2 linked regions of the Oreochromis niloticus genome follow. The protein of the gene in region 1 interacts with the protein of each later gene in a biochemical or structural test. Links are inferred from orthologs where the notes say so. Each region holds a gene or a part of one and is shown on either strand. Other genes may lie near its edges.

Region 1 (11,961 bases):
GTGGAACTGATAACAAGTAATGGCTGATTGGACTTATACCAGACCTTGCTACAGCCATCAGACCAGCTGGCATGAACTTCCTCGATCCATAAAACCGCTTCCCCATGATACCAGTCAGTGCTCCTGATGCAGCTGGCAGACAGCAGGAGACGGAAAAGGTTAGTGAAGGCACTCAGAATGAAGACATTAGATATTCAGAAACTGTTTACTTACATGGAAAACATACAGCTGCTTTATGCAGTTTAGTATGTGGGTCCACATACTAAACATTTTGAGTGTATGTTTTTTTTTGGTCATAAGGCATAATAGAGTTATTCAATTAACAGTCAAGACTGCGGCTTGAATGGCACAGCAGTGTTCAAACTTTACAGCTTTTTCTGACATGATGTTTTTCCTAAGCTGAGGAAAGAGGAAAGAAAAAAAAAAAAGTTTACTAACCTAGTGACACCCAAACATTTTTAGGATCATTTGAGACCTGGTAAGCTCCAAAACCTGCAAGGCCCCCAAACAGAAGCCCAGCAGCCAGGGAGGGAACACTGCCTGACAGAACAAACATACAGGAGGTCAGAACCTAGGAAAATATAAACCAGCGAGACAACAGCACCAATAGTAATACTTGCTGTTATTGAAATGTGATTATTTAACTTAAGTATTTTAGGTAACACATACCTGCTTTCACGTAACCAATGACTCCTCCAGATGCTACAAGCGTGGCGTATCCATATCCTACCCAATCCACAGTCATGTTGGACACCTGTCAGGATCACAGCGTGAGGTTATGCGAGTCAACAAACACATTATTGACGTTGCACATCGATTATTCAATTAAAACCTCCTCCTGATGTGAATCTAATTTGACCTACTGGTGTAAAAATACTTAAGGAGCTGTGCGAGTCCTGCAACACAGAGCTGTTACTGAGCATTAACGGAACGAACAGAAAAAGTGAAAACATTGTAGGAAGGTTCCCGCTGTCACACACCGCAGCCGTAGTTTGTCAGCTTTTGATCAGAAGTCGTTAAAGAAAAAAGGGGCGTGTGTGTGTCTGGCTTAGTAGATAAGCCAGACTGCTTTACTGAGCCTTAGCATAAACTAGCATCACTGCTGCACCACACACTCAGAAGTTACACAACATTATCGAAACCACTGTTAACAGTCACCCCGTAAACTTTGAAAGTAGATTCAGTCTTAAGCAGCACTCTAAAACATTGACACTGTCGAGTATGGAAGCTGAATTAAAAAAAACAAACCGACTTACAACCTTAGTCGTTCAGTTTGTCCTCTGTCTGTCACTGACATAAACAGTGTGGTCCCTACCGACGGCAGCTTGTTCTCCACCGAGCACAATTTATTGCTGCACTGTACGTAATGCGCTCGCGGATGCCGAATGCGTAGGCTTACAGTTCTGAGCAGATCTCTTTATGTTGTGAAAGACATACGGCTGCGCTAAATAATAATAATAATAATGATAATAACGATAATAATAATAATAATACTAATGTGTTTTTTATCGTTTATGTTGGTGCAAACAAACACGACCGAGGACACTTAAAAGGTATTAAACTATTTTCTCTGCGGAATCACTACTGACGATTTATTGTCCTGTACTCTCCATAATAAACCGAGTCCTGCTTACTTAACGTCGTCGTATGATGTCATTGTCAACCACTAATGCGCTCAATTGAGTAACCCCAACGCCACTCGGAGCTGTTTTTTGATAATTGACGGCCGCTAGATGGCGCCACAGGATTATATTAGGTTGTGTTTCAAGTTCAAACCGCACCCCTCATACCAATAGCTTTTTTTCAAATAGGCATGTACTTTGATTTGCATGCATCCGAAAAAAAGGCTGTCTTCAAAGGGAAAGGATAAACATACAGATTGCAATATCACCACTTACGACATCGGAATGTTTTTATTATCGTTATTACTTTTTCTTCTTCTGATGGGTGACTAAAACGATCAAGTTTAAGCGTGACAGACTGATTAAGGTTAATGAAGAAAGGCAGGTGAACACAAGCGCCCAGCGTATTGCTTGTTAGAAATGCATTTGTAATATTTGCAAACGTTTGTATTCCTGACGGGTCGTGCAATTTCATGTAGACTTTCCTTTAAAGCACCTGTGTTTCCGACTGGCATCGGCTCTGCAGATTTACTTACTGGAATGCTCCCTGCTCACACATTCTCATTTGGTTTCAATTACCTGCGATATTGACTTCAATCCACTAGCGGCGCTTCCTCGCTCTTATCCAAAAGCAAGGTGGCGCTATAACACAAGTTATCTTGTTCAGAGAGCAGCGTTTCTAACGTTGGGCCTGAAACCGTCTCAATTGAAAAATATAAATAGATAAATAAATCACGAATTTTTATGAATATAACCAAGGTGCGTGTGGCTTTGGAGATCTTCGCCAGTAGGACACATCCAGCAGGAGCTAGAGCGTGGCCGTGGGAAAATAATATTTGTTGCAAACTCAGCATTTCTACGAAATGATTTACCAACTTCATAACTTCATAACGTTTGGGGGATACGAAAAAGTGCTCCTGTCTTTGATCAGCCTTTTTTAAAGAAGAAGAAGACGAAGAAGAAGGAGGAAGTCTTTCTGCCATTTCTAGCAATGAGAGAAGGACGCGTAAAATACGCACCAAGATCTGTCTGTCTTTAGGTACACTTGATAATAACAATAATGATTATAGCAATACGACTACTGCTACTACTACTACTATTACTAAAACTAATAATAATAATAATAATGATAATAATAAAATGTACAAGATGCCTGAGGCGCAGTCGTGGCTATCGCCTTTTAAACACAGCTGGCGGTTGGGGAACATTGCCGGAGGCCCGGTGCTGTGTGCTGCTGGTTGAAACTAAGCCCTAGACCGGCTAGATATTCAAAAGGGACCCCGCTGCAGAACAAGAGTAACCTACTCTCAGACAGCTCTGCTTTAAAACTTCACTCCTCCCTTGCGCAGAGCCCCAAACAATATTTCTGATTCCCCCTCCCCACCTTCCTCTCCTTTGTCCAGGCCTGGTAAGGTCTATATAGCTGCAGGTATTGTGTGTGCAGTTAAAATGTGTTCGCCTTTGAAGTCAAACATGAAGGCTCGTTTAAAATATTAACGCCACAAAAATCTATAGTCTCCGTGTGGAATTTTGCAATTTAGAAAAATACCAAAAAACAAAAATCGGGTTAAAGCAAAATTAATTGTATTTTTTCTTCCCCCCGTTAAAAGTTTGTCCACAAGCACCAGTGTTACACTTCACGCATATAACACGCTGTCTTTATGTGTGTGATATAGTGAAAGGTAGGTCAATGCTGCTATCTGCCAGCGAAGTGCCCCCGCGACTACGTCCATAGCAGCCAGTTTGCCTACGTGTGTGTGTGAAGCGTATTACTTCAAAGAGGAGAAGGGGTTACGGACAAAAGATTTGGCCATTGTCACCCACGTCAGCGCACGTGTTGCTCTGCTTTCTGTGTGCGTGTGTGCGCGTCTCTCATGTGTGCGTGTGTACCAGGGGGAGGGGGAGGGAGGGAGGAGGCGGTTGGGGGGTTGTGGGGGGTTGCTCATTCGCTCTTGGCCCGAGGGGTCTACATAAGTATGTATTAGAAATAAACAGTGGATAAATAAATAATGACTCTCACAATAGTATGGTAGCTTTCTGTGTAATGATGTTGGCAGTTAACCTTCAAGTTTTTTAACTTGACACAGTTTCATTTGCACTGACAATTCATGTTTTCTACTAAGCAAGACAAATCAGAGAAGAAAAGGAACGGAAAGGTTAACAGATATGTCCTTTTTAGTTTTATGCCAGGTGAAGACAAATATAACCTTTATAATTATATATATTTATATTCGCTTTGTCCCACGCAGTTTCCCGTATTTTCTCATATGGAACCTTTATTACTATTATTATTATTATTATTTTAAAAAGCACATCTTAGATTATCACACTGTTTATGCGCACAATAAACCAAATTAATATTTGATGAAAAATCATATAAAATCCTCTTTTTTTTTGTCAAAACATGAAATGGACATTTTCCTTTAAACTGATCTTAAAAAAAATATTATTACAGATGTATGTATTTGTTGGGGTGTGTTGTGTCTGCATCAATCACGTTAAATAGCCTAAATAATATCCATACTTTCAGCTCGTCACTTGTGAACGCTGTTGTTTAAAAAACTAATTAAGTATGACAGCTCAGACCTATTCAACACACAGACACAGACAAGCTGTTTCTTTTTTTCTTCCCAGGTGCTCGCCACTCTCTGGTCCACACCCGTAGCAGTGCGCATGCGTCGCCAGGTGGCTCCGCACCGTTTTTATGGCCAGGTGAAGCGATTCCGGCCCAGGTAAAGGTTTACTTTTGCGAACGAAGGCTTAATGAAATAGACGCGCCGTCGGATCGGACCAAAACAAACAAAAGGAAGCAGAGGATAAAGAATGTCAATTATGGGCAAAATGATGGAATGGCAGGTATGTGTTGTTTACCTTAAGAGAAAGAAAACGGCTGCAAAAAGGGGGAAAAATACATAAAAACAGTCAAAGTATCGACTTGTTGGATGAGGCTGCATGGACGCTATGAAATCCTGTAGTAAAGAGAGGCGGCAGAGTTCTGTAGAGGCTCCTGGATTTGATCACACAGGAGATATTTTGGAGTCTTTTGCGGGGAGGTATAGCCTGAAGTGTGGAATTAACCATATTTTTTTTGTTGTTGTTGTTGTTGTTGTTTTTTAGTTCTGAATGTCTGAAGGTATGGATCGTTTGTTGCAAGGACATCGTGCGCGTTTCAGACACACTGTGATATCCACATTTGTTTCATCATAAGTTAGACGTGTATGGAAACAGACTTGAGGTGCTTTGTTAGAGGTGGGGCGATTACAAAACACAGCCCGTGCTCGAACCGTGTAGTTAGGCTTTAAAGCAGAAAAAACAAAAACAAAGAATAACAATGATAAACTTTTCATGTGCTTTGCAGCTGTTCCAATTGTGCATGGCGTGAGCATCTCACAGTGGACTTTCTGTAGAGTCTAATTTTTAAAAAATGATCTGGGCTTGACTCAGAAGTATGGCCTCGGCTTGTGGATGCGTTGGGGATTTAAGAGACGACCTGAGATCTTTGGTGGAAGAGAAACACTCCCGTTTCAGGCGAGCAGGCCAGGTCTCTTTTGCAGCACGCACGGATGCATTGCTGTCGTTGACAGCCGCTCCACGTTCATTAATAACAACTGTTTGTTACAAAAAAAAAAAAAGAAGGGAGGGGGGGTTGTCTCTGTCCCACCAAAAATACCAAACAGGCTTTTAAAAGGGGGACAACGCCTTAAAGCGCCGTGGACCTGTCTGCTGACCCACGACCTGGTGAGGTGAAGGCTCGACCGGCGACAGGACAGAGCCAGGCTCCCCCAGCCGCTCATTCAAATGAAACAAGGCCATGTTGTTGTGTTAATTATTGACACCAACCCCCCCTCCCTCCTCGACTCCCTCACAAGCCCTGCCAACCTTACAGGTAGCCAGTGGACCTGTAGAGCAGCTTTGAATAACTCACCCTTTTTAACATCACACTGAAAGAATAGCCTCTCGAGGTCTCCGCTCTCAATAGGATTAAAATAACACTTTGGGATTTTTTTATTTTTTTTTTTGTAGAAAAAAAAAAATCAAGGTTGGCCCCACGGTGTGTGTGACGGGGTGGTAGCATAGTCATGCTGTCTTTACATCAAATTTAAAGTCATCAAGAGGTGGATAGAAGTAAGTTCAGTTTAGACAAAAAAAAAGTCACAGAAAAATATATTTGACAATTTGTTAAAAATATACAATTTCTGGGGGATTCTTTAGGATGTGCACTTTTCCATCCTCCCAAATATGAAATCAAAATGATTGTAGAAAGTGTCCCAGGTGCGAGCAGGTCCCCATGCATGACCGTACCCTCCCTTCCTCTCAATAAAAAAAACACACACACACACACACCTCATTGAACAGTAGAAATAATAACCGTGTGTAGCGTCTTGTTGCTTTTTTAGTCTTTACCTGTAATGCTGTCCATTGGTGTTGTGTGAGCAGATGGGGGGAATCAAACGGCTGTTGATATGCTAATGAGGCCCGGTGCCAGTGTTATTACAGAGCTGATCCAGCCCTTCACTTCCACCATTAGAGGGAGACCTCAGAGCGCAAGACAGACAACCAACCCACAGCTTCAATAAAAGTAGTTTTTCTGAGCGGGGAGCACAATTCACTGAGTGAAAACAAGACTAAGGCGATACCTATACTCAATATCCACCTCAACAACCCATGAAAATGCTCTGGAAATTAACTGATAACATTAAATATGAAGACTGCGAGGTAAGAGGCTCGTTTTTAATTTACTAAATTTGTTGTTGTTATATTATTATTATTTTTAAACATTCAATAATTATTTCATGGCTGCTTTTTAAAATTGTTTTGATCCAGCTATGAGATTCTTTTGACAGCTGTTAGAGAACATATTTAACTGCAAGATGAATAGACTGCATATTATGGCTTTTGTTAATTAATGTAATAATAATAACAATAATAATAATAATAATAATAATAATAATAATAATAATAATAATAATGATAATAGGAAGCTGTTTTTAATATCGCCTGGCTGCATAAAAATCACAGCATTTTCCACTTTAAAACTTACATTAAAAATAAAATAAATATGACTAAAAATTCTATTGCACGTGAAAACATTAAAGCAATAATATACACTTACCATGCATTAAATTAAAAAATAATATTTTAAAGCAGTGTGAGTGCTGGCACTGCCTGGTTCATTTTGCGCTTCAGTTACAAGCTCTTGGACTCTTCAGGTTTTTCTATCACTGCAGAAGCTGTTAAATTCTGCGTGTGCGTGTATGTGTGAAGTGCATACACTGAGTGATTGTTGTTGTTGTTGTGGACACAGACGAAGTTTGGCAGTAATACCGGTGGCTTGTTTAAGGAGTGGAGAAGCCAGTCGGACGTGTTTTCGCCCGCGTCCTGTGAGAATAGAGAAGGACGGGAGCAAGAAAGCAAAAAAAAAAAAAACAGAAAGAAAGAAAGTGGCACCTCCGCGGTCGTGTTAAATGGATTCTTTTAATTTACAGGCAAACGGTTTGTTTCATCCGCTGGTATCGAGGCAAAAAAAGAAATACATAAACAGATAAATAACATTTGCAGTCGCGATCCAGCCGAGGCCCCAGTAAGTGATGTTTCGTAATTTTAAAGTGCATGATTAGGCAGGAAGGGGAGTGGAGCTATTTCAAGCCGCGCGCAAAAGTTACAGAGCGCAGGATCCAGCGGCCCTGTCTCACACTGTGGGAATTTTATTTTGTTCCATCTTTCCGGGTCAACGTTAAAGTTAAAGCCGGCGTGACTCTGGGTTTTTTGGAGTCGAGGACGGATCGGTGGATTAATTCGGCGGAGACAGGAGAGGCAGAGAGAGAGAGAGAGTGAGAGAGAACCATGGAGGACAGCTCGCTGTCGGAGTCTGAGGTGGAAAACAAAGGGACAAACGGTAGAAATGAGCCGGCTGGAATGCCCATAGCGTCGTCTGCTGGATTTTCACCCAGTTCAGAGGTGCACATTGTTTCCTTCGCTGGCTTCTTCATTCCTGCCTGTGGTCCACCTCCCTTCCCATTCCTGTCTTTCTTTCACTTTTGCGCTTTGGCCTGGGACTCTTTTAAAATGCCCCCCTCCTCCTCCTCCCTCTCTCTCTGATTCGTCAGACGAGGTGAATGTCCCTCTTTTTGTGTGTGCCTCTCTCCGCACACTCTCTCACTCCCTCTTTCTCTCTCACTCCCCCTCTCTCTCTCTCTCTCTCTCCCCATCTCTGATTAGATATACTGATTCCTCCTTTCAATGGACGTCATTTAAGCGCAGACTCCTGCCTTGAGTTGCGTCCTCCGCTTCACGCCAGATTTCCGTCTATTCTTTCCTTGTTATTAAGTATTCCTGTGATATTAATTGTAATGAATGCGTTCTGGTAGGAGTCCGAGAGGGAGACGAAGAAGCGGCTCTTTTTTTTGGGCTAATATGAGCTCGAGCGAAGGGACGGTAGCACTGTGATAGAAGCCCGGAGAACAGGGGGGAAAAGAGGGTTTACCAAGAGAAACTTTTCAACCTCGATCGGCCAGCACCGCCGAATATCTGCATTGTTAGAAGCAAATGAAGGGCAGCTGGGATCTAACCATTTATTTCTGATGGATTATCGTCCTGCTACCGAGGCACATATCTGATCGCCGGGGCCATCGTGATCTTTGCAGGAGAGAAGAGTCTTTTCGGGGGCCTTGTTCTTTTTTTTTCTTTTTTCCTTTTTGGGTTTTGCTGGTTTATTCCTTTTGCTCTTCTCCCCCGCCCCCGCCCCCCCCCCCTAAAGACTCCGTGTTTTTGTGAACTGATTATTATATTAATAATTTTTTATTATTATTGAGTCCCCACCAAAAATCCTTACAGATGTTAGTGCACAGTTTTTCCGCGATGGTAAGTTGCTGGAGTCTCCCACTATCAGATACTTTCTTTCTTTGCTTCTTTGCCTACCAGATTTTTTTCTTTTCTTTTTTTTTTTTACTTCAAGTTTTTTGCAAAGCGTGCATGCTTAAAAAATCAGCTGAGCATCCTGCAAATAAAAATAAAAAAAAAAATGTCAGGACTTTCCTATTTAATGCCGTTTCATTCTCTGGATTTTTTTTAAATTATTTATTTTGCTCATGTACTGTCAGGTTATTTTGGATTCCCAAAACTTTGCGGATGTGTTGTAGGTGTTATTGTTTTTTTGTTGTTTAAAAAAAATCCCTTTCCCCAATTAACTGGAATAATTCAACACAGATTCCACACTTGAGCTAATTCGTGTCATCCACTCAGGGGCATATTTGATAATGCCCGCAGAGCATTCACATGTAAAAATATAGACGGACGTTTCGCTAATTTATGACCGTGTCCTTTATTTTGATTTTTATTTTGAACGTATTCAGGCTAAAACGCACTTTTCCTTCTTTCCTTACCTGTCAGGATCGTCACGACGGCACCAGCAATGGGACAGCCAGGCTACCTCAGCTGGGCAGCGTGGGCCAGAGTCCCTACACGAGCGCCCCTCCGCTCTCCCACACACCGAACTCGGACTTCCAGCCCCCGTACTTTCCTCCACCCTACCAGCCCATCTACCCGCAGTCTCAGGACCCTTACTCGCACGTCAACGACCCATACTCCCTCAACTCCCTGCACGCCCAACCGCAGCCACAGCACCCGGGCTGGCCGGGCCAGAGGCAGGGTCAGGAGAGCGGCCTGCTGCATCAGCACCGCGGCCTGCCCCACCAGTTGTGCCGGGAGTATCGCAGGGAAGTGCTCCTGCCATCCGGCCACGGCATCGAAACGGGACTGTCGGACTCTATCCCTATCCATGGAATACACCAATCTTTAGAAGACGTGCAGGTGAGGCAGCGTTTACCTGGCTTTCTCTTTCTGTGGAATTACTCCCTTTAAGAAATGAAAATAGAAAGAAAAAAAATGAAAGAAAGAAAAGGAATAATGCTGTCATTAAGAGTTCGAGCACCACGGGTGCCAACCCGCTATTATCAGTGAGAGTTTGTGTGTGTGTGTTTTATTTAAATAAATAATGAAAATTGTTCTGTCACCCCGCCTTTAAGAAATCAGGTACTAGTCATAGAAGTGCTGTAACTGTATCATGTTTATCTTATTAATATTAGCTGATACAAAACACGACTGACACGCAGTAAATTAGGTTCGGGGAGCTCATTGTAGCTCTTAAAATAGCAAATATACTAAATAATAAATGCATGGATTTTTTTTTCCCAGTATCTTCAATGCGGTTTAAGACAAAGCAGCACTGATTTGCAATTTATTTCTGTCATGAAATATATTTAAAAGAAAACATTTATAATGCTGTTCGTTGACACATGGCTTTTGTTCGACATCTGAAACTAAAAAGGCATGAAATAGATGAAAATAACTGATATCTCTATTTTCACGAGTAATTTTTTTTTTGTCGTTTGATTTTAATTTAATTTCGCTGTTTTAAAAAAATAAAATAAATGAAGCCGACGCTTATTTGAGAACAATAACACGAGAGTATACTGCTTCCCGATAACGAGAGAATTTTACTTTGCTGCACGGAGCTCAGGCAGACGTTTTATTGAAGATCTGTGATGGACGAGCTTTTAAAATTGTCAATAAACTCCATTCATATTGAGAACATTACAAAAAAATCAGAAACAAACACCAATAATTCGCTAATTAGTTCATAGGCCTTTAATAGGCAGCGCCGCCATAATTACTATCCAATCTAGATTAGAAGTTTCCTTGTGAGTACAGCCAATCTGAGGGCGAAATTAGGTCAGGATTATGGGGCGACACAGCTTCGTTATTTAAGTCTGCGTTTGTCATCTAATCAGTGTAACCGGTCGAAAACACACATGGACAATAATAACAGGTATGGGGCCTCGGGAGCCTCCATGTTGGGTGATTGTGGCTGCTAATTGTGTCAGGCTTTGTTCCTGCACCGCATCCTGAGGTGCGTTTACGTACGCAGGACCGAGGTTGACATTATTAGATTTTTCCTTCTCTTTCCTGCCTTTGTACTTAAACGTATACCTTTTTTTTTGCATTTGTGTCATAGCCTGTTGAGGATCAAGGAATTCACATCCCCGACCAGACTGTAATTAAAAAAGGTAAGCAATTTCCTCCGAGATACAGTACCATGCATGTTTCTTCAAGCTGCACACCACTAAGCAACACACACACACTCGCATACACGCACACGCACAAACGCCATTCACTATTCTGCTCGAGAGAGCTCGATGCAATGCGGTAATGCCTGACTGATCCTAATACGCAGTAGCCTATTTTTCATTACATGGTTTCCAAGTGCGTCAAACTGGCTGCACCTTTTTTTCCCCCCTCGCTGATGGAATTTACTGTCAGCGTTTCAGCGCAGCGGGGAGATGAGTAGAGCTGGTGGGCTTTGTAGGCCCGCGTGCTATTGATGGTCAAAGATACAGGCCTCATAGACGATCCTGGCACTTCAGGAAGCCAATAGCTGCAATCACGTAGCGTGGTCAAATCTAAAATGGGAGTTGGTACCGCTGGATGGAGCACAGGCCTGCTGTGTGTAGGATGATAGTCTGTCATTCAGTGAGGGGAATCAAAAACTAGGCTTGGGGAAAAAAATCACTTGGCTGGATTTTTAATATCGTGAAATGTAATTGTTTAAATATATATTTAGGCTACTTTGGTGAAGGTTGTTGGATTGTGCTGTTGCTGCTGCTTCAGTCCGTCGTGTTTATTTGCTGTTAAAATTCAGTGAATTGTATTACTTGATACAACACGAGGAAGTCCCATTCTTTTCGTGGCCATGTTTTAAAAACGTTTTGTCAGGTCAAATTAGAACTCGCTGGATAAGATACGGAGTGATTTTGCTTCCCCATTTCTTCCCTTCCTTTTTTCGGTTTTTACTTCTTTCTTTCTTTTTTATCTTTTTAAACATTCTTTCTTTTTTAGTCTGTCTATCTGCACATCAACATGATAATTGGCTTCTTATATTAGTAATCTCAAGAGTTCGTTTAACTCCTATTGTCTCTATTAGGCTCCCTTGAGCCATTAATGTCACAAGTGATCTATCCAAAGGCGCACAGTCCCCTTTGTCTCCGGTTACTGCACACCAAAACGGTGTAAAGCCCAGCACTGCTGAGCCCCCCCTCCACATACACACACACACACACACACATCCTTAACCCACTACCCCCCCCCCCCCAGTGTGAAATCACACACGGGGTACGGTGTTTTGCTGGATACCCAGGATATGTCAGAATAGGTAGACTTTACAGAATCTCTCGGTTGGTATGGTTGCTTTGTGCGGAGATGCTGTTTAGGGCGCACACATCCTTTTATTTTTCATTGTCTGCTGCATAGTTGTCTACATAACGTCATTGGCTGGTGTTTTTTA
Region 2 (11,522 bases), on another chromosome or scaffold:
ATGTCATCAGCCAGCAGCCTCAGTCCCTATCAGGCAGTCTGCTGCACAGAGCACTCTCCTCTAGCCTTGGGCGCTGGCCGCACTATGCACCCTTCCCCCATTGCCTCTCTTCTCTCTCCTCCTCTGTCTGTCTCTCTTTTACCAGGCTGCAGTGACCCACCCTTCCCTTCCACCCCAACCCCACCACTCCCCTCCCTGTCACCCTGCGGCACTTAGCTTCCATAGTGTCAGTGCACAGGCCTCAGTGTTGACAAAGCAGCAGGCCTTCAGAAGACACATCAAACCCTGTCCCTCCACTGTGCTGTTAGGGAGCTCAGCGCACAACAAAAGGACAGGGACTCAAGCTTCAGTCTCAGGCCATTACTAGTCTCAACAACATAGCTACAGACAGAAAAAGGCCCTCGAGGATGTTGTACGTACCAAGACTTACAAACATGAGCTGGATCAGCTCAAACCATTCAAGACTCAATCCATGTTTTCTGACTGTTGTGATGACAGTGCTGTGATGGATGATTGTAAATATAAAACATAAGTCAAGGCTGTGGGTTGATGCCATCATGACACATGCACTCTAATGAGGACTGTGGGTGCTCTGCAATGCCAGGGACTTCCCCCAAGGCACATTGAGCAGGGGGAATGCTATGTGATGCATACCAGATGTGATTGGAGACATCACACTGTTCACGTTGTTACTGCTAACCAAATAGTAGCAGCAACAAAAGCAAAAGATCATTTTTCCTCTGTTTACACATTCAAGGCATGAGGCTGGATGCTTGTAAGACTGGTTTGAGCCAGAAGCAGAATAACACATTTCAGAGGATTTTGTTTTTTCCCAAAGAACTTCAGAGAGGACTGCACATAGAAATGAAAATTTGGTGACGGATACAAGAGATGACATAAAACAAAGTTACATTATCACCTCTTCTCCTCTGACAAAACAGAGAAAATGTCTAATTTCTTGGCATTTTGGCAAAGTTTCATAAACATTCTCATGTTCTAATTTCATCCTGTACTCACGAATGCCTCTATTACCTGATGACCTCCTTCACAGGTACTTTTTCATCAGTTTGTAAATATTTAGAGCTTTAGACCACATGATGGCAGCAGATTTTGAGATTTTAGACAATTCTTAAAATGTGGAAAATACATTTTCTGCTTCATTAAAATGTCAGATTTCTTTTTTAATTTATCTGATCTATAACACGCCAGAATGAGAGGAGGATATTTTCTTTGCACAAAGAAAAAAAAATAAAAATAAAAATACAGGTAATATAATATATGAAATTATCACAATACTGTATTTTTATAATCGATTTATTGGTCTATATGGGAAATTGCCTTTTTTCTGAAATATTTTTATTTTAAAAGTATCCAGTTGCTAAAGATGTCAAAAAAGGGGGTAGAATATGTAAGATTTTCCATTTTTTAGTGAAGTAATATTAAGTACCATGATGGCATCAAAGAACACTGCCTTTTTCAAGGTTCAGAGTCTAGCATGTTTGGGGTATTCTGCAGGCTTCCAATTGGCTAATATTTAGTAAATGTCTCAACCAATCACATTAAGATTCTGAATAAACAAAGACTGAACTTGACAGCATCAGAGTCATTGCAGTTTTACCTGTAAAAGTGGAACTGTCTCATAACAGCAACTCTCAGAAGTACACAGAGTGTACACACTCTCCTTGTGCTCAGCTTTTTCTGAAACTTAATTGCTGGCATTAAGCACTTGAGGGAATTCTGAGCTGTGCTTGTTAGGTGTTTGTGAGCAACACAACTCCATACGTTCTATTAATAAACTGACACCTTTTTACCTTCTCTCCCTCCCTCTCTCTCTCTCTCCCTCTCTCTCTCTCTCTCTCTCTCTCTCTCTCTCTCTCTCTCTCTCGCTGAAATAATGAACAATAAGTGTCGCTGCTGCACCTCAGACACACACCAACATCAAGCAGAATGTCAAATGGCTGTAAGAACGGAGCGATTGACAGCAACCGGGCTCCACAAGGCATGCAGATTACTAAAAGCAAGTTCTGAGCGTTCTTTTCAAACTTTCTCCACACGCCAGAGGGGCAAGTAGAAGTGGAATGCTTGAAAGAGATTCTTGCAAATGCTCACATTTAGAAGGGCGGATGTGACTGTATTGTGCCTACTGTTTTCACCTTTGTGCACATGTAGTACAGTTGTGTGGGTGACCTGGGTTATGTGGATCAAAAAAAGGACATGTTGGCCAAATGCCCTAAAGGCTTTAATTGAAAAGTAAGAATAAAAAAAGAGAGAATAAATATTAAAAAATAAACCAAATGGAAAGACTATAATATAAAAGCCTATTTTAAACATTTAATGAAATAATAAGTAGTACAGCATATGGCTTCAAAATGACTGGTAAATGTGTGTTTTATCATTACCCATCACCCTTGTTCATTAATACCAACTTTACTGATTAATTATTATTGATGATTACTGACTGTCAGATTCCACCATATATAGAAACAATATTACACCTGGTCCAAAAATTATAATGTACATTTTTATGCAGACGGCACTGTGTTATGCCACTGGCTCTTCCCTTGAAGCGCATGCGATCATCGAAATGTATCAGTGAACAGTTCATTAGCCCTTTTGAAACACCAATCAAGAAAATGATATTTATATTTCTTATGGTGATATTGTTTATATTGATGTTTCTTCATCCACCTTGAAGCATCTTGATTCTTGCATCACAGTGCATTGTAATTTACCAATGATAAATTGATGTAGGCCTTTCTTACTCTTCTATGAAGAAGTAGGATGGTCAACCTTAGGAAACAGAAAAAAGTGGCAGTGTGTGGTGTTTATTTACAAAGCTCTACTGTGGAATTGCTCGGTTACATGCAATTTCAGGTCACAGAATGTGCTAACATTACCTGTTATTCACAGTGAACCTGGAAAAACTATTTTTCATTACGTCTGTGATGGTTCTCAGTCATCCAGGTCATCGTAGTCTAAGGAGCTTGGAAAGAAAAGCCTCTGGACTTCTGTAAGTTTCCTTGAAGATGTTTCACCTCTCATCCGAGGAGCTTCTGTAGAAACTTCTTGGATGAGAGGTGAAACGTCTTCAAGGAATTTTTTCATTACTTTGCTACCTACAAATGGATTGAGCTACAGAAGACTATGAAGCTTCATTCTCTGGCTTTATTTGAACATTTTTCAAAGGTAAAATTTATGTTTATGCAAAAACTAGAGGTGGCTGGATAGACCCAGATATTGAAAGTATTAATACCAACACTGGCATTGGTATTGAATTGATACTGACAAGTTAGGATAGATACTTTATTTGTTTATTGCCCGCTGAATTCTGTTTATTTATTTGTTTTTACCTCAAACATGCACTATGAAAAATGTCTGAACTTTAAATCAAAGTTATATGTCAAATAGGAGCTATAAATCAAATAGATGTGTTCCAGTCACATCTGTTTGATTTGTAGCTTATAGCACATTTGAACAACAGAAGATGATCCAAAGTGATTTAGTGACGGGCACATTTACATTCCAGGTATCCAAAAAACCCAGCTTTAAAATCCATAAAAGGTGAAAGTTGTGTTCTGTGTTAAATAAGTATTGGGGAAAGTAAAAAATCAATTTGAATTAGTGGTCATTCAAGCGTGTTCTGAATTTGCAAATTGATGATTCATCTTATGAATCATGACACGTGGCTCTCCCCTTGATAAGCTGCCTTTATAGCTTAAAAGTATCAGAATCGGCAATACTGACCCTGTATTTGCTTGATTTTAGATCAATACCAAAATTTGCAAATCCCACAGTAAGATCCCTTGTACATGCTTTTTTTAATCCTCTGAGATCCTCTGACCCCAATGCTAGTATCAAATCCAACCCTATGTTTTTGGGGGGGAGGCTGGATTAAAAGAAAAAAGTTGATGTCATAATTGAATATGTTTTTTATACACAGGTTTCTGTTGAAAACGATGTCTTGATCTCAATGAGACAGCATGTTTAAATAAAGGATTTAATAATAGTTAAGCTCATCAGTATGCAGCAGAGTATTCATTGAAAAGGGTTTTTTGTTCACAGTGTTACACCTAACCAGCAGATGGTGCCATGTTCCATCTTTCATTTGAGTAATAAGTATATCCTCCAGATTAAAAAAAAAAAATACCAGCATGCGCTCATTCATTGGTGTCAGATATCTGACCTGCTTGCAGCAAAAAATAAATGTTAAAAAAAAAAGGTAAGCATGTGTCTGTACCACAAAAAAGAAGGTGGAATAAATTGTTTTTAATAAAAAAAATAGTACAATTTATCCCTCAGAGGCATAAAGCATACAATACACTGTTGATGCTGTGATTAATATATAGTAGAAAAAGCTTTAAAAATCATATATAATCCTCTTGTGATAAAGCTGGAGAAAGGCACAGCATTGTCCTCTGTGCCACTTTAGGCAACATAACTAATAGCACCTTGCATTTGAACCTAGAGGCAAAGTTATTCTTCTCGGGGTCATGCATTAATTCATATACTTCATTAACATATGTCTGAAGGAGACTTTGAAATTTTGACTGATGTATGCAGTTGAACGCTTCACGTTGCAGCATAAACATCTTGACTCAGATTTGAGCAAAAATCTATGTTCATTTTGTAGTTTTACATAAGTAAACATTTAAAATAATGGAGAAATTATGTGGAATAATCCTTTAAAGAAAACTAGAACAGAGCTGTTATCTCTCTCTGTGCCTGCATCAGGGAGACCAAACATCTATAATCCCGTTACCTGGGTCAAATAGTACAATCAGATCTACATTTTTTAACCCTGGAAACGAAGAAAAAAAAATTAATCGTAGGGACAGTTTTTTGGACGGTTAGCAAAATAGAAATGGAAACCTGTCTGTCTTCTCACTTGCTGAGGTGCTGGTCAGGAGGACAGATGTTTAGATTTGGGAAATCTCAAAGCTGCATGCAAATCCTCAAGATGACCTACTTCTTCCCTTCCACATAGACACCGATAAAATCCATAAATTAAGGAAATTAACTGATGGGGCCCGGGGCCACTTTGTAAGCTATTTAAATCTTTAAATTTACAACATCCCTGCATACTTCATGTAATTGAACTAACTCCGGGCTTGTTTCCTTTAATGAGAAAAAAAATCCCGCTTTCCCTCCAGTCTGTACCTCTGGAAGCAACAAATCTGTGCCAGAGGGGAAGAAGGGAGCGCTTGAGGCACGCTGAGGTCTCTCTAATTATAAAGACTTCACTTGCTTCAAGGAGAGGCGCATTCTCACACATCCATCAGCTTGCTGTCAAATATCACCAGCACTTTTTAATTTTATATTTAAATATCCGTTATTTTATGCCGATTTTCTATAAATCTGTCTCTGTCTCTCTCTCTCTCGCTTTGTTATACACACACACACACACACACACACACACACACACACATATATATATATATATATATATATATATATATATATATATATATATATATATATATATAAGATAAGAAAATGTTAGAGTATCATAGTGATATTGCTTTGGAAATCTATGTGCTTAAAAAGAATGTTAATACTATTCGGGATAAACGAGGCTCCAAAATAGTGAGTGAATTGATGTATTTCCTGTGGACCAATAATAAGTTCCTACACTGGTTGGCGCCAAATATCAAGAAACGAATATTACACCCCTCTCACGATTCTGGTACAGAGTAATTACTGGGCTCGATGTTGCATCAATTATTCACAGTTATTTACCCGCAAATAAACAAACATGCAAATAAATAAATAATAGTTTCCTTGGCGTGAGCACCTGCTTGACTCCTTCTTCCCCCTTTTACTTTGTGCTGAAGTGGCGCAACACTTTAGCGCTTCATCACTTGCATTGTGTCTTTCTCTGTTGAAAAATAACAATAATCAGGCACAATCTTATTTTCCAAAAGTCTGGAGGCTGCCTCCTTTCATTGTTGAGTAGAGAGGGGGGTGTTCTGGGCAGATATCTCCATCTAAGCCCTGCGCTATAATTGAAATGGCGCATTTGGCTGCAGGCAGGTTGTGAGGGCGCTTTCTGCAGCAGCATGCATGCATGTCCATAGACGTCATTTGATTTTAATGGCCTGCAGGAAATTTGGCGTTACAACTCCAGACATTAAGGCAAGAGAGAGAGGGAGAGGAATAGAGAGCGGGAACACGGGGGAAAAATCACGGCATGAAAGATATTGGTTCAAGGATATCGCTTCATTTTCAACATATTTTTTCCTGCTGAGACTTTATCAACAAGTTATTGCGTCTTTATTATATGTTGCCTGAGTAAAGGACTATGGCAGCCCGCCCGCTTTAAACTTTAAATTTAGCTTGGAGATGGAGATGGAAATGTAATCCTACTAGCTGGACAGCCTGGGGAACTATTACATCAGACGAAATGACAATGATTAAAATCTGCTTTTTGCTGCTCTAAATCTATTGAGCGACAGACAGTTGCCTGTTAGGTTTCCTACCCCCTCGAAATCACAACTTCACACCGTTAAGGGGATCGGTCTACTTTTTGCCGGAAAAAATAAGATAAGTTATTATATCTATGTAGTCATAATTTCGGGAATAGAGGGTATCACGTTTTCTTCCTTGAGAAAATTGCCTGGGTGAGAGAGTGTAGTTGAGCTAATTGTAGCCTAATCCCTGGCCCAGAGGCGCTTGGGCAGCCCGGAGCAAGATTTTTCTTTTTTAGCTCCGCTCTGTTATTTAGAGAAGGATTATTGGCTTTCTTCTTCTCATAACAAACCACAGGGGCAGTTTCATTTAGGCAAAAAGGCAGACAAGAAGCCGAAATACGAAGCAGGATTCCAATAAGAGCGCACATTTTACGCGTATCCAAATAAGAGCAGAGAAGGGGAAGGAGATCATCTCATCTATGTTCAAGGTAAGGACGCTTCCTGTGCGCTTTGGTACAAAGAAGCTTGGTGAGGACAGGTCGAGCCAGCCTTGCAATTGAGCCTTTAAAGCCACAGAGACTCTTTGCAGTCGATCCTGGCCACAACCTAGCGTCTTTTAAAAGCAGTTTTGTGTGGGATACAGAAAAAATACTTGGCTTTTCCGTGCGGCAGTATAGGTATTGGAACTGGACGGCGGTGTAGTTCGGTGACAAACTCGGGGGCATTTGGAGAAAATATTTGAAAATTTTTGGGGGTTACGCGGACAGCAGCTGGGACTGACCGCCGGCACGGATTTCCTCCGGACTCCCTACAATGTTTGAAACGGTAGGGTGACAATTTAATATTACAGAATCCAATGTTTTTTACGCACAGTGTAGGCTTAGGCTGTACAGTTTTCGGGAAGGACAGTTGAACTGTGCTGGAGAGTCCTGCATAGGGCTACTGCTCGACCAAAGTGTATTTTCTGTCTTTTCTGCCAGACTGTACCCTATAGTTAACACGTGTGTGTTTTATCAATCGGGTCGTGTATTACACGTGTCGGGATTATGCTTTTAATTGTACAGCAGCAATAAGACGCCATGTTGAGCATTTGGTAGATTAAAGGCAGAGCACGGGCTTGTGGTGTTCCTGCGGAGGGAGTGTTGTATCGCACCGTTTCTTTTTCAGAGATTTCTGTGTCCTTTTTCGTGGTTGTTTTAAAGATCAGTCGTCAGGTTTATGTCGCTGTCATTAAGTGTGAGCTCGACAGCAGTATGTCTGAGCAGGGGTCAGCGAAGGGAAGCAGCAAGAAAGCAATTCAAAGCAGGAAAGTTGAGTCTCTGTAGCTGCTGTGATTTTGTGAAGGAATTTATGTGTTGTGTGTCTACGTGTGTCACTCACTGTTTGTGTGTATGTGATAGGGAACAAGGGAGTTGGGAACAACAGAAATCAATGAGAATGTGATCGGGATAGTAAGAAGATTTCTATATTTATTTTCCACATTTGTTCTTCATTGTATATCAGTGTAGGGAATTTATTGCTTAAATGGTGGATAAGTAGGAACGAGGAAGATACCCGCGATGGGACAGACCGATGGGTGTCCGTGTGTGTCTTTGTGTATGTGCCCTAAACTTCTTAAGTCTCTATAAGTTTTTTCTCTGTTCCTGGGTTTTGAAATGTAATCCCGTTTTCTTGTAATCGCATTAAACGAATACGATACTGCTGTGAGGAGGTCTATATATAAAAAAGTCTCCTGTCTCATAGTGTGCCCACTGGCATTTCTCTCAGAGCCGCGGGGATGATCTGGACTTTGGCAAAAGGTCTCCCGTCTATCAGTAATGACAGTGCAACAGCCCATATGTGCAACAGAAAACTGATCAGTTCACATAATTTAGTGAAAGCTGGGATTTTATTATATCAGTCTGTTTAAACACACACATGTGTACTATGAAGCTCCTATTATTGTTTTAGATTTTTCCTCAAATGGAAGGTCTGTATTTCAACCAGAGCCTGTAGGCACGGACTAGTGGTGATAAAGTGGAGAAACGGTGACCTTTATTTTGTGATTATTAAAGAAAATGAACTAAGAACAGTATATCTTTGTTTACTTTTCCTTTAAAAAAAAAATAATAAACTCAGCCACTGTGATGTACAATATGCTTCGTAACAGATAATAGTAACACTGAAATGTGGCCATACTGAGGTTTTGTGGTTCACCTGCCGCTGTTGGCAAACAAATTACGCACCAGTAGGTAGGTTGGATATAAACGCCTCCTCCGCTCCTCCTGAAGCAGTGCGGAATCAAATGACGGCGTATCGAATTGAAAATATTTTGTCAAACATTTCATCAGATAATCTAATTCAGCTCTGCACTGATCTCGGAGTGCTCCGGCGTGCTCCCAGTAAGCCCCAGTCCCAAATATGTGCACCCACAGTCTGTATACAGTAGGCTCTAGTGCCATGTACTTTACTTGTAAGATTATTTTAATGGTTAATCAACGACACTGAGCTACACCAAGTACGGAATAAGATACACAATAGTTTGGCCTGCAAGTAACATGATACTTCTCCTGGTTTCGACTGAAATCTGGTGCGTTTTTGTGCAGTACATGAGGCCCGTGTGCCTCAAACTATCTGCGGACACATGACACTCTTAATCTTTTTGTGTACTGAATGGATGCGTGTGCGTGTTAGAAGAAAAGTTGAAAGCTCCCTCCCCGTCGAGCTTTCCTTACTCTTAGATTGGTGGTTGGTGTGTCTGGGCGCATCACGTCTAACACATAAGGCGACCTTTAATTAGAATATTGCAGCAGCAGTTTATTTTATTCCCCTGGAGGCTGACACCTAGCATTCCTCTCTCTCCCCCCTCACCCTGTCTCCCTCTCCCCCTCTCTTTTTCTATCTGTCTATCTCCTTCTGTCTCTCTCTCTCTCTCTCTCTCTCTCTCTCTCTCTCTCTCTCTCACCCCGATTCTAATAAGCATCCTCCTATCCTCGCCTGCGGTGCTGCATGAAAAGATGCAAACATACTTAATTAGAGCGGTGGCAATAATTTCCAGGCTAAATATGCGACCAGACAGACATGGAAGTGATCTGATACCATTCAGAAAGGATACTATCTACTTCCCTGTTTAGGAGCACTCTGCTGATTTTTTTTATTTCTTCTTTACCTTTATTCCCATGGCTTTTCTCTATACTTGCTTTCAGGAGGGAAGAAGCATGTCAAGGCTGTCTCTGACCCGGTCCCCGGTCTCTCCTCTGGCCGCTCAGGGGATCCCTCTGCCGGCTCAGCTGACCAAGGCGAACGCCCCGGTGCACATTGATGTCGGGGGACACATGTACACTAGCAGCCTGGCAACTCTCACCAAGTACCCAGATTCAAGGTAAGATCAGTCCCTGCCTCTAGCATCACTGCTGATCTTAATGTATTAATTCATAGCTTATCTATTTTTTATTTTTTTAAATCAACTTTAAGAAATATGAGCAAACTAAAGAGTAGTTTAATCTGTCTCTTGCTGCTTTTGTTTAAAATGTGACACAGTTATGCATTTATTCCAGTTTAACTAAATAATGGAAAATGTTTCCTAAATAAATATTCAGTTAGATTTCAGTCACTTTTTATCTTAGTAGCTTTATGTTGCATTTTTCACAGTGAATCGTTTAAAAAATAGATTTGACTGGCGGTTTTGTTAATGAAGTCTAACAGAATCTGAAATGTTAGCAAGTCACATAGCTGACTGGCATTGGGACACCACCAGTTAAACTTTGGGGACAATTTCCCCATATATCTTTTCAAATCATGTGGGGGCATTTCTCTGCTCTTCATTCTTTCAACTTCTTACATTAAAAATGATACATGTGATTGCTTTTTTGTTTGTTTGTTTTAAAGGTGATTATTTCAATCTTCCAATAAATACCTCCGAGGGTTTTATTTTTTATCTCCTTTCACATGGTAGCTGTTATTGAAAATTCAGCTGCTGTGCAGAACCTTACACATGTTTTACTGCTGATGTGAGTAGTAGTGTTTGTGTGAATTCACACCACGCAGAACATTTTCACACTACGCCCCCTTTTCAAAGTCTTTATTTATTTATTTTATTTTATTTTATTTTTCCCGCAGATCAGGGTGCTGTTTGGAATACTAGAAAAAAAATAATGACGTAAGCATCCAGAACCCCCTTAATCAAAGTTGATGTAAAACAGCTTCAAATGTGATTAAAATCATGGCATGTTACAAGTTGTAGGTTTTTTTTGCAACCACCATTTATCATGTGTTGCAGCTTGACCTTATCAATACATTTTAATAAAAAGTTGCATGACTTATCCTTTTATCTTGTGAGCTATTGTTTTCATTATATTTTTTGACGAGTTTAAGCTGCAGCTTGAGCCTAAGAGATGAATGATACCGAAGACAAACTTTGAATTGTTCACCGCAGCAACGACTTTCTGTATATCAGGTACATGTGCATGTGCAAAAAAAGCTCCTCCTGCTCTTTCAGACATCTGATTGTTATAGTTACACATGAAGCATTTGCACTTGTAAGAAAAAAAGCATGATGATTCAGGCTGTGTAAGAGCTGATGGTAATCCACCATCCCACATTTTTATACACATTTTTAGCTCCATCCACAAACAAGGTGCCACTACTAAAGGAAGCAAATTCAAATAATGATAAAATGACTCCGTTTTATGCTGATTTGAATTACCCCTTCCGTATTTTCCTCTAATGCAGTGTGTCATTTATTGCATTATGCTCCCTGCATTTCGGCATCAGCTGAATCCCATGTGGGCCAAGGTAAACATACACCAGGTTGTTAGAAAACCTGCCAAATTGGCTACAGGAAATAATCCGCATAATCCCCTGGTAATAAAGTCTTGATATTCATAGAGTCCGCTGACAGGAAATCCCTGACAACTCTCTTTTTATTCCAGTGCAACATGTCATGAGAAAGATAAAGCTTAAACCAGAAAAGGGTTTATCGTTGTTTGTGTTATTAAGACAATTTTTTTTGTCCACTATTTCAGTGTCATAGTCAGTTTATCCAGTGGACAGATGGTTTTTACATTTCTGTGTCATTTGTATTCGCAATTGTGCATTGCTATTGTGTTCCCGTATTTATTATGCTCTGATGCAGCT

The links.
Region 2: the proteins of tfap2a (region 1) and kctd15b form a complex in vitro, tested with the Homo sapiens proteins (2 studies listed by BioGRID, with this or other methods). The link is inferred for Oreochromis niloticus from reciprocal best matches to the Homo sapiens genes TFAP2A and KCTD15.

The regions. Positions count from the first base shown.
Region 1 is NC_031974.2:23,416,116-23,428,076, forward strand, and holds the start of tfap2a (transcription factor AP-2-alpha), read left to right. Parts: upstream 1-7,036; 5' UTR 7,037-7,466; coding exon 7,467-7,580; intron 7,581-7,588; exon of another isoform or gene 7,589-8,456; coding exon of another isoform or gene 8,457-8,483; intron 8,484-9,011; coding exon 9,012-9,431; intron 9,432-10,635; coding exon 10,636-10,687; intron 10,688-11,961. Other genes in the region: tmem14ca (transmembrane protein 14C), read right to left, coding at 45-132, 439-540, 670-754, 864-953.
Region 2 is NC_031965.2:31,957,123-31,968,644, reverse strand, and holds the start of kctd15b (BTB/POZ domain-containing protein kctd15), read left to right. Parts: upstream 1-6,904; 5' UTR 6,905-7,220; coding exon 7,221-7,232; intron 7,233-9,592; coding exon 9,593-9,768; intron 9,769-11,522. UniProt on the Homo sapiens protein: During embryonic development, it is involved in neural crest formation. Inhibits AP2 transcriptional activity by interaction with its activation domain.